Regions from separate parts of the Mus musculus genome. Here region 1 is reported to be linked to region 2. Evidence: microRNA targets listed by miRTarBase, many of them from high-throughput screens and not tested one by one. Region 2 holds a microRNA gene; the other region holds the end of a gene's coding sequence.

Region 1 (5,556 bases), not on the chromosome of region 2:
GCTTCCTAACAAATTCCTAGCCATAAATAATTGTCTATTTACTCTGTGGCAGGCTGAGGACTTTGGAATACTGCTGTATCAAAGCTCCATCATCATTCTTTGCTTTGTTTCTTGAAGGGGGAGAAACAGATGGTGCCATCTGCAGGCTGCCTGAACCCTGGCAGGGAAAGGCTCTCCTCTCCATTCCTCACGAACTGTACCAACCCTGTTCTCTACCTTCTCAGGATTTGGCACCCTCACTAGTCCAGCAGCCTGGTTCTGCCCCGCAAGATGCCCAGAAGTCTCATGAGAATAGCTCAGGACAGCAAGATCCCTTGGAGTGTGAGGCCAAACCCAAACCAAAGCCAACCAACCTGCGCCATGCTGTGGCTACTGTGGTCATCACTGGGGTAGTATGTGGGATCGTATGTCTCATGATGTTGGCGGCTGCTATCTATGGATGTACCTATGCAGCCATCACAGCCCAGTACCAAGGGAGACCCTTGGCATCAGCCAGGAAGTCTGAGAAGATGGGAAGTAAGGAACTTATGGACAGTTCATCAGCCTGAGAGCCTTCATTTCCAAGGTCCCCTCGATCACTGAGGGCCCGGAAGAAATATCTGAGTGAGCTTGATGTGTTCGATGCTCCTGTCCCATGTTTTATCTTCCAAAACAACTAAGGAAAAAATGTATCCAAAAAATAAAACAAAGTACTCAGTAGGAAGAAGTTTAAATACCATAGATATAATAGACACACTCATATCTTGCAACTGAGAAGATATGACAAGAAGTCTATGTGTAGGAACAAAAAGAAGAGCGACGCCATCTCTTTTAGGTACCTGTTTCTGGATTAAGCTGGATTCTGCAGAGCAATAAGAATTCGGACATGTGTGCCAATAGGCATTTTTAAGAGCTCTGGGGCCACCAGTTGGAGTGCCTGGGAATTGGCTAGTGCTCTTACCCGACCCGTACTGGCTGCCTCTTAATTCCAGTTCATGCTAGATTGGTAGGATGTTGAGATGTTGCGTATGTTACACATTTAGTGGAAATGTCTGTTGGTTGGGAATTTCATAGCTGGCCACAAGACTCAGATTATATTTAATTTTCTAAATCAGAAAACCATTTGGGGCTCTCTAAGCTGCAGGGGAAGATGAAGGTTCCATGTCTGGATAATGGGACTCAGGCCCGGAGCCTGGGCAAGGTTTTGATGTGAAGGAACACAGAGAGAATAGTAAACTAGAATACAGGGCAGATATCATCAAGAGACCATATCCACCAAGCAATGGGAACCTTATCCTAGAACTCTCCCAGCAGGGATGGCTTTTGCTTAGGCTGAATGGTGGCTGTGTCTCTGCATCCACATCTACATCTGCAGTGCACAGAGGGCATGGATTTGTACAGCTACACCCACACATAAACACCCTTGGAGCAATCAGCTTACCCACTAATGAAATGCAGCCGTGTCGGGTGGGAGCCAGTAGCTGTTGATCACCACCCAGATTGTATGCTCAACACTCTGGGATAGGAAATAAGAAGGAAGTTTGAGGGGGAGTGGGAGTTACTGGGGGGTGGGCGCGGGACTCGAGGCACTGGAGGGCAGACATCCTGGCTAGTGCTTCAGCATGGCTTTAAAAAGTTCAGGTATGGCTTGCAGAGTCCACAGACTTAGTCTGAGAGAGTTGCATGCAAAGTGAATTTTTATAAATTGAATCATCATTTGAATGCAGCAGGGGAGCTCGCTATTTAAAGGAACCTTTCATGGAATCTTTTCTGTAATGGAAATAATTGGCTCCAGATTGATGCATTTTTTTTCCAAATTTGCATTTCTATGCTAGGGTTTCTTAAAGTGGAATATACCTATACCTACTCTTTCTGTTTACACTACAGGCACATTTTAGGATTATAACTCTTTTGCACAGGAAGAGAGCACAGAGGAGTTAAAGACATGTTAAAGGCAGAAAATGACAAATATGGGGCAAGCTGTTCCTCTAGAGCCCATGACAGACATTGCTAATCAATCCCAGCTCTTTTCCCAGCTGAGCCTCAAATATACCACAGATGGTTTCTTAAGACAGCACTATAGGCAACCAGAACTAATCAATTGGAGTTGGTTCAAAGGATAAAGCACATTTGCCATTCAGGGTACTGGCTCGACTTCACCCCTCAAGGCCATGTAAAAATTGGTTTGGATCCCCAGTCAGTTGTCTACTCCTCAACCGGAATATAAATGGGATGTGCACATGTTGGGATGGACAGCTGTTGAGTGTGCTATAAGCAATGGAAACCTTGTATATACCAGTGGGCTAAGGGCAGACTGTCATTTTGGAGTATCAATTCAGCTACATAATTTTTTTTAATAGCAGAAGAAGTTTAAATGTGAATGGTCACAATGAACCCCATTAGTGCATGTAATTAATATGCATTAAAAATTATAACGTGTAAGGGAACAGCACACCAAGATTTCCCAGCAAAGGCCCACAGCTGCATGGGCTGTCATTTGCCCTGACATCTCTCTTTTGTGCCAAGGTAGCTCAATTCAACTGTGTGACTGAGTTTCTATTCTAAGGATGTAGCAACTACTTTCAAACTAAAAAAAAAAAAAGCATTTCTTTCCATTGTCCTAACTGCACCTTTTTTTTTTTCCTTTTGGCCAAAAACATAATGCGAGAGGAAATTGAGAAAGTTCCTTTACTCTTCCTCTTGATTTGGCCAAATGTTCTTCAAGCTCACGCTGTTAGCAGGCATGGCTCACTGTTCTCATGAGCATTCCTCATAGAATTCTGACACTCGCCCCGTGGAGTCTTGGGCAGCTAGCACATGCCCTAAGAACTCCCAAGGCCAGCAGTACATACCTCCTCTAACAAGTGATTTAGGACTGCAAGTGTACTCTGCCCTGTCAGTGGTTTGGCGATGCTGCAGATCAGCCTTGCCCTCTCCTCTCAGAGATTACATAAAAGAGTTTCTAGTACACTGCGCAAACCATGAACGTGGCGCAAACCCTCGCCTGTCAACACCCTGATCCTATTAGATGTCGATGTACAGATGATAACCCACGCAAAAGGCCTCTGGCTTAATAGGTAGTCTTTAAGCACGAGGAGTTAAGTGATGCATCTGTAGACTCAGATTTCTATCATTTGCCTACAGTCACCACACACAGCAGTTGGCAGTGAAAATAATTACTTACTCTGAAATGTCAACAGCTCCTCAGAACAGAAAAATATAAATCAAGTTGTTTAGATGAACAAATGTGGAGTTATCATTTGCTAATATGAGAAATGAAATGTTTTAATTGCAAAATGCACAGCAGATGAAAGACCCAGTTTTCAGGGTATTCTGCAAGAACCACAAATTATCTTTCATGAGCACTGCAGCTCACGAGGGGCAATTTACAAACGCCTCACAGATTATTTTCAGCTGCTTATTACTGCCATCCTATTCATAGAGTCCCCTGTAAGAACGTCCTTCCGCCAGAGCGCCAGACTGGAGGAGGCGCTCAGGGCAAAAGGCACGTGTAGTGTTGCTTCAGAGAAAGTCATCTGAAATGGCATGCTTCCATTAAAAGTAGCGTAACCGTGTGGTGACAGGCAGGTGATTTCTGCTCCTGCAGAGACCTGAGTTCACAGCCACTGCAGCTCTCTGTAGTGAAGCTCAAAGGAGAAGGGCATGTCAGCCATGTGATGCTGAGAGTGAGGCAGTATGTGAGAAGAAAGACCTGCTGTCAAATCAAAAAAGCTTGCACAGGTAAGGTGGGGACCTCAAAGCCCTTGGAAAGACACTTGTGCTTAAGACGATAAAATGCCAGTGGATAAAGGAGTTATCTTGTTTTGCCTTATGAGAACAGAGACCTGAAAAGAGATCCACACCTGAGCATCCTGCAGAAGGCTCCTGGAAGTCAAACCCCATTGCTGAAGTTCACTGAGAACTACTGAAGACAGACCCCCTCTGCCTCATACTCTGAATATTGAAAGTGGCTAAATTGGTTTCTAAAATATTCTATCTGTGCTCCATATTCATAGTCATACACTAGTCATTCAAGACCTGTAACTTCCCGTGCAGATCAGGAAGTCACTACTTCCAATGTCCATTTAGATTCCCTACATGCTACTGTCAGAAACCTACAAGACCAGACACCTCAACCTACCAGGCATCCCTGAACAAGATATTCTTCAAAACTTCAGGGGACCATCCCATCTCCCCCCTAGTGGATTGATTATTTATTTATTTATTTATTTAAATGCTTAAATTACAATGAGGTCTCAAAGAAACCTTTGTCTCATTCAGAGGAGGCCTTATAACTTTCTGACAGGCTTTCAGATTCTTGACAGGGCTATTCACCTCTATTCCCATTCCAAAGACACTGTCTGTTCAGAATCCTCGAAAAGAATAGGCTGTCACCTATAGCCTCACACATCCATTAAGCAGACCCAGAAAACAAATCGAGGGAGCTAGGGAAGGCCCTGAAGACCGTTCTGTTGAGGCCTGGAAAATGTCAGCACAGTTGCCGTTGGTCTCCTTGTCCATCATGGGCATTGCTAACAGATCACAGCATACTTATCAACTGATTCCAGGCCAGGCCTCAGAAGCCTTTCAAATCTGTTTTCCAGGTGCCCATAAGAGATCAACTAGAGTTGACATAAGGGATTAAAGTTATTTGCTACGTCGATATAGTTCAGTGTCTTTATTTTACAGCTAGGAGCTAGAAGCATGGAAAAGGGAAGAAACTTGCCAAAAGTCACACACAGTTCATTGTGTGACTGATAAATCCAGTTGCAGAAGCATGCAGTTAGCATGCATAACACAAACTAATCCCCTATTACCCTTTGTCCATTGTATAGTTAGCTGCTCTATCTAGACTATGACATCATTGTACTAATCACTTAGATAAAGACAATTACAGCACTGCCAACAATCTTCACTGGGTGTGGTGCTGGCTAGTTTTATGCCAGCTTGACACAAGCTAGAGTCATTTGGAAAGAGGAAACCTCAAATGAGAAAATGCCCCAATTAGGATCGGCCTGTGGGCATTTTTCTTAATTCATGACTAATGTGGAATGACCCAGCTCATGGTGGGTGGCATCACCCTTGGGAAGGTGGCCTTGAGTTCTATAAGAGAATGCCACTGTGAGAGAAGCCAGTGGTTTCTGCCTCAGTTCCTGCCTTTAAGTTCCTGTCCTGACTTATTCATTTATTTATTTATTTTATGACAGACTATGATGTGGATATGTAAGCTGAGATTAACACTTTCCACCCCAAGTTGCTTTTGGTCATGGTGTTTTATCACAACACTAGAAACCTAGCCAAGACAAACACCCAGCTTGGCGCCAGGCATCTTCTAAGCACATTAATTAATTTTCTATCTACCTTCTAATGAAAACCATAGGTGTCTACTGTCCCATTGCACATGAGCCTAGAAAGCAAAAGTCCTAAGTTATCACACCAGTAAATGATCCAGTAGAAATTCACATAAAAGTTGTGATGGCTGATTTTATGTCAACAGAACAGAAGCTAGGACTATTTGAAATGAGGGAAGCTCAACTGAGAAAAATCCTCCATCAGATCCAGCTGTAGGGCATTTTT
Region 2 (5,000 bases):
GTGCCATTCATATGTGGGTGTCACATGTATGTGTATGTATGAGTTTATGTATATGTATATTAATATACACACATACATCACGGGATCATCACAAAAATCTCAGGCTCCTCTCTAACTCATCGTGAAGTTAAGGATAAAATTGAACTCTTTTATTATTAGGTATTTTCTTCATTTACATTTCCAGTGTTATCCCAAAAGTCCCCCATACCCTTCCCCCCCCAACTCCCCTACCCACCCACTCCCACTTCTTGGACCTGGCGTTCCCCTGTACTGAGGCATATAAAGTTTGCACGACCAATGGGCCTCTCTTTCCACTGATGGCCGACTAGGCCATCTTCTGATACATATGCAGCTAGAGATACAAGCTCCGGGGCGTACTGGTTAGTTCATATTGTTGTTCCACCTATAGGGTTGCAGATCCCCTCAGCTCCTTGGGTACTTTCTCTAGCTCCTCCAATGTGGGCTCTGTGATCCATCCAATAGCTGACTGTGAGCATCCACTTCTGCGTTTGCCAGGCCCTGGGCCTACTGACTCTGGTAAACATTATCACCTGCTGACTGAGACCCCTCTCAGGCCAAGTACTGCATAACCTCCAAAACTTGAGGTGACATATCATTCAAATGAATCACTGAGTGCCATTCATGTCTGTGTGTCTTTGTGTGCCTGTATATGATTGTATGTATGGATATGTATATTCATATACAAACAGGCAAATGCACACAAAACTATACACCCATGCACATACACGGGGTACATCCCAGGAATACCAGGCTGATCTCTAACTCATTATGAAGTTAAGCATGAATTTGAACTCCAGATCTTTCTGACTATACCAATCGTTTATATCTGGTGAGTAAAAAGTTTCATTGGCCCAGTACTACATAATTTCTAAAGCTCTAAATCACATATCAATAAAATAAATCGATGAATACCATTCCTGCGTGTGTGTTGATGTGTTCATATGAATGCGTGTATATATGGGTGTGTATGTATATGTATATTCATATACACACATATACATGCACACACAACTATACGCACATGCACAAACATGGGGGGCAAAACATGATTCACAGTTTGATCTCTAAATCCTCATGAATGTAAGCATGAATTTGAACTCCTGATTCTCCTGATTCTGGCAAGCATTTTCAACTAGAAAGTGAGAGCACTCACTGGCCCAGTACTACATAATCTCTATAGTTCTACGTCACATATCATTCAAATGGATAAATGAGTGCCATTCGTGTGTGTGTGTGTGTGTGTGTTACATGAGTGTGTATGTGTGTGTGTATGTATACATATATTCATATACACACATGCACATGCACACACACGTAAACACACATTCACATACATGGGTGGCATCACATGAATGCCAGGATGATCTCTAACTGAAGTTAATCATGAATTTGAACTCCTGATCCTCCTGACTCTGTCAACCATTTTCACCTGGTGAGTGAGACCGTTCATTGACACACTACTGCATAATCTATAAGACTCTAAGTCACATATCATTCAAATGGATCGATGAGTGCCATTCCTGTGTATATGTATTTGTGTGTGTGCATGCATGCGTGTGTATATGGGTGTGTATGTATATGTATATTCATATACACACATATACATGCACACACAAGTATACACACATATAGAGCAAGCAACACACAAATCCCGGGCTGATCTCTAACTCATCATGAAATTAAGCATAAATTTTTACTGCTGTTCTTCCTTACTCTGCAAGCATTTTCACCTGGTGAGAGAGAGAGAGCTCTTTTGGGCAAAGGAATACTCAATCTCTAACCTCTAGGTTGCATATCATTCACATGGATTGGTAAGTGGCAATTGTGGGTGTGTTTGTGTGTGTGTGCATGTTTGTGTGGGTATGTATGTATATGTATATTCATATATACATACATTTTCATGCACACATAAATATACACACATGCACATACATAGGGGTCATCACATTAACACAAGGCTGATCTCTAACTCATCATGAAGTTATTATGAATTTGAACTCCTGATTCTCCTGACTGTGAGAAATGTTTTTGCCTGGTGAGTGAGATGTCTCACTGGCCCAGTAAATTTACATATTATACAAATGGATCGATGAAAGCCATTTCTGTGTCTGTATCTGCGCATGCGTGTATATGTTTGTGTGTATGTATATGTACATTAATAGACACACATGCACATGCACACAAAACTATATACACATGCACATACATTCATGGGGGACATCCCATGAATTCTAGGCTGATGTCTAACTCATCATGAAATTAAGCATGAATTTCATCTCCTAATCCTCCTGAGTATGGCAAACATTGTTACCTGGTGAGTGAGATCTCTCCCTGGCACTGTCCTGCCTAAACTCTCAAGCTCTAAGACACATATCATTCAAATGGATGTGTGTGTGTGTGCATGAGTGTGTAAGTGTGTGTATATTCATATTCATATACACAAATGAACATGCACACACAAGACACACACCTGCCCATATATAGGGTACAGCCCATGAATCCCAGGCTGATCTTTAACTCATTATGAAGTTAAGCATGATTTTGAACTCTGGATACTGATGCTCTGGCAAGCCTTCCCTGGTGAATGAAAAGTTTCAGTGGCCCAATACTACATAATCTCTAAAGCTCTAAGTCACATATCATTCAAATGGATCAACGAGTGCCATTCCTCTGTGTGTGTTTGTGCTTGCGTTTATACGTGTGTGTGTATGTATATGTATATTCATATACACACATGCACATGCACACACAACTATACACACAGGCACATACATGGGGGGCATCACATGAATCACAGACTAATCTCTAAATTCTCAGGAAGTTGAGCATGAATTTGAATTCCTGATTCTCCTGATTCTGGCAAGCATTTTCACCTTCTGAGTGAGACCATTCACTGGCCCAGTACTGTATAATCTCTAAAACTATAAGTCACATATCATTAAAAGTGATCAGTGAGTGTCATTCATATGTGTGTGTTGCATGTGTGTGTATGTGTGTGTGTATGTGTATGTATATTCATATACACACATGCACATGCACACACACGTAAACACACATGCACATACATATGAATACCAGGATGATCTCTAACTGAAGGTAAGCATGAATTTGAACTTCTGATCCTCCTGACTCTGTCAATCGTTTACACCTGGTGAGTGAGAACATTCACTGTCCCCTATTGCATAATCTCTAAAACTCTAAGTCACATACCATTCAAATGGATTGATAAGTGCCATTCCTGTATGTGTGTGTTTGTGTGTGTGTACGTGCGTGTGTATGTGTGTATGTATATGTATATTCATATACACACATGCACATGCACACACAAGAACACACACAGGCACATACATAGGGGCCATCACATAAATCCCAGGATGATTTCTAAATCTTCATGAAGTTAATTATGAATTTGAACTCTTTATTCTCCTGACTCTGGCAAGCGTTTTTACTTAGTGAGTGAGATGTCTCACTGGCCCAGTATTACATAGTATTGAAAGATCTAATTTACATATCATACAAATGGATTGATAAGTGCCATTCATGTGTGTTTTTCCACGCGTGCATGTCTATGTTAGTGTGTATGTATATTTATATTTATATTATACACACATGCACATGAACACACACGTATATACATAAGCTGCATCACATGATACAGGCTGATCCCTAACTCTTGATGAAGTTAAGCATGAATTTCAACTCCTGATCCTCCTGACTCTGGCAAGGATTTTAGCCTGGTATTTGAAGCCTCACCCTCACTCAATACTACATAATCTCCAAAGCTCTACGTCACATATCATTCAAATGGATTGACAAGTGACATTCCTGCATGTATGTGTGTGCGTCTGTATGTGTATGTGTACATATATTGATATGCACACATGTACATGCACACACAAGTATAAACACATGCACATACATGGGGGGCATGACATGAATCCCAGGCTGATCTCTAACTCATCATGAATTTAACCATGAATTTGAACTCTGAAACATACTGACTGTGGCAAAAGTATTCAGCTAACGAGTGAAACAACACACTGGCCCAGTACTGCATAAGCTCTAAAGCTCTGAGTCACATATTATTCAAAAGGATATATGATGCCATTACTCTAAGTGGTGTGTGTGGGTGGGTGGGTGTGGGTGTGTACATGTGTGTACATGTGTGTATATGCATATTCATATAGAGAAATGAATATGCACACAACTATACACACATGCACATTTTTGGTGGGCATCACATGAATCGCATGCTGATCTCTAACTCATCATGAAGTTAAACATGAATTTGAACTCCAGGACCTCCTGACTCTGGCAAGGGATTTCACCTCCTAACTGAGACATAGCTCTGACCTGGTACTGCATAAGCTCTAAAGCTCTGAGTCACATATCATTCAAAAGGATATATGAGTGCCATTCGTGTGTGCATGCGTGCATATGCATATTCACATAGAGAAGTGAATATGCACACAACTATGCACACATGCACTTTCTTGGTGGGCATCACATGAATCTCATGCTGATCTCTAACTCTTCATGAAGTTAAGCATGAATTTGAACTCTGTAGCCTCCTGACACTGGCAAGAATATTCACCTCCTACCTGAGACATAGCTCTGGCCATTCCTGTGAGTGTGTGTGCATGCGTGTATATGCATATTCATATAGAAAAATGAATATGCACACAACTATACACACATGCATATCCTTGGTGGCCCAGTACTGCAGCATCTCTAAAACTCTAAGTCACTTATCATTCAAATGGATCAATGAGTAACATTCATGTGTGTGTGTGTGTGTGTGTTGTGTGTGTGCATATGTGTGTATACATATATTCATATACACACATACACACACACATAAACACACATGCACATACATAGAGCGCATCACATGAATCCAGGCTGATCTCTAACTCTTCATGAAGTTAAGCATGGATTTGATCCTCATAACTCTGGCAAACATTTCCATGGGGTGACTG

The links. The annotated mature microRNA mmu-miR-669f-5p reads AGUUGUGUGUGCAUGUGCAUGUGU and lies in region 2 at 2,752-2,775, opposite strand. An mRNA with a match to its seed (bases 2 to 7 or 8) in the 3' UTR can be bound and repressed. Matches are read on the target gene's strand: a 7mer-m8 pairs with bases 2 to 8, a 7mer-A1 pairs with bases 2 to 7 and ends in A, and an 8mer does both.
Region 1: miRTarBase lists Lrtm1 as a target of mmu-miR-669f-5p. Seed matches in the 3' UTR shown: 7mer-A1 at 5,258-5,264.

What each region holds. Positions count from the first base shown.
Region 1 is chr14:29,027,207-29,032,762 of GRCm38, forward strand. It overlaps Lrtm1 (leucine-rich repeats and transmembrane domains 1), which reads left to right. Exons shown (of 3, transcript NM_176920.4): 3 at 118-5,556. The coding sequence ends at 548. The region is part of intron 27 of Cacna2d3 (calcium channel, voltage-dependent, alpha2/delta subunit 3); the gene reads right to left. Among named protein-coding and RNA genes, the nearest start is that of Lrtm1, 12 kb to the left of the region's middle.
Region 2 is chr2:10,465,023-10,470,022 of GRCm38, reverse strand. Mir669f (microRNA 669f) reads right to left here and starts at 2,794; the gene lies at 2,674-2,794. The region is part of intron 10 of Sfmbt2 (Scm-like with four mbt domains 2); the gene reads right to left. It overlaps Mir466m (microRNA 466m), which reads right to left and starts at 3,360; the gene lies at 3,277-3,360. It overlaps Mir466f-1 (microRNA 466f-1), which reads right to left and starts at 3,079; the gene lies at 2,986-3,079. It also overlaps Mir669e, Mir669b, Mir669d, Mir466f-2 and Mir669l.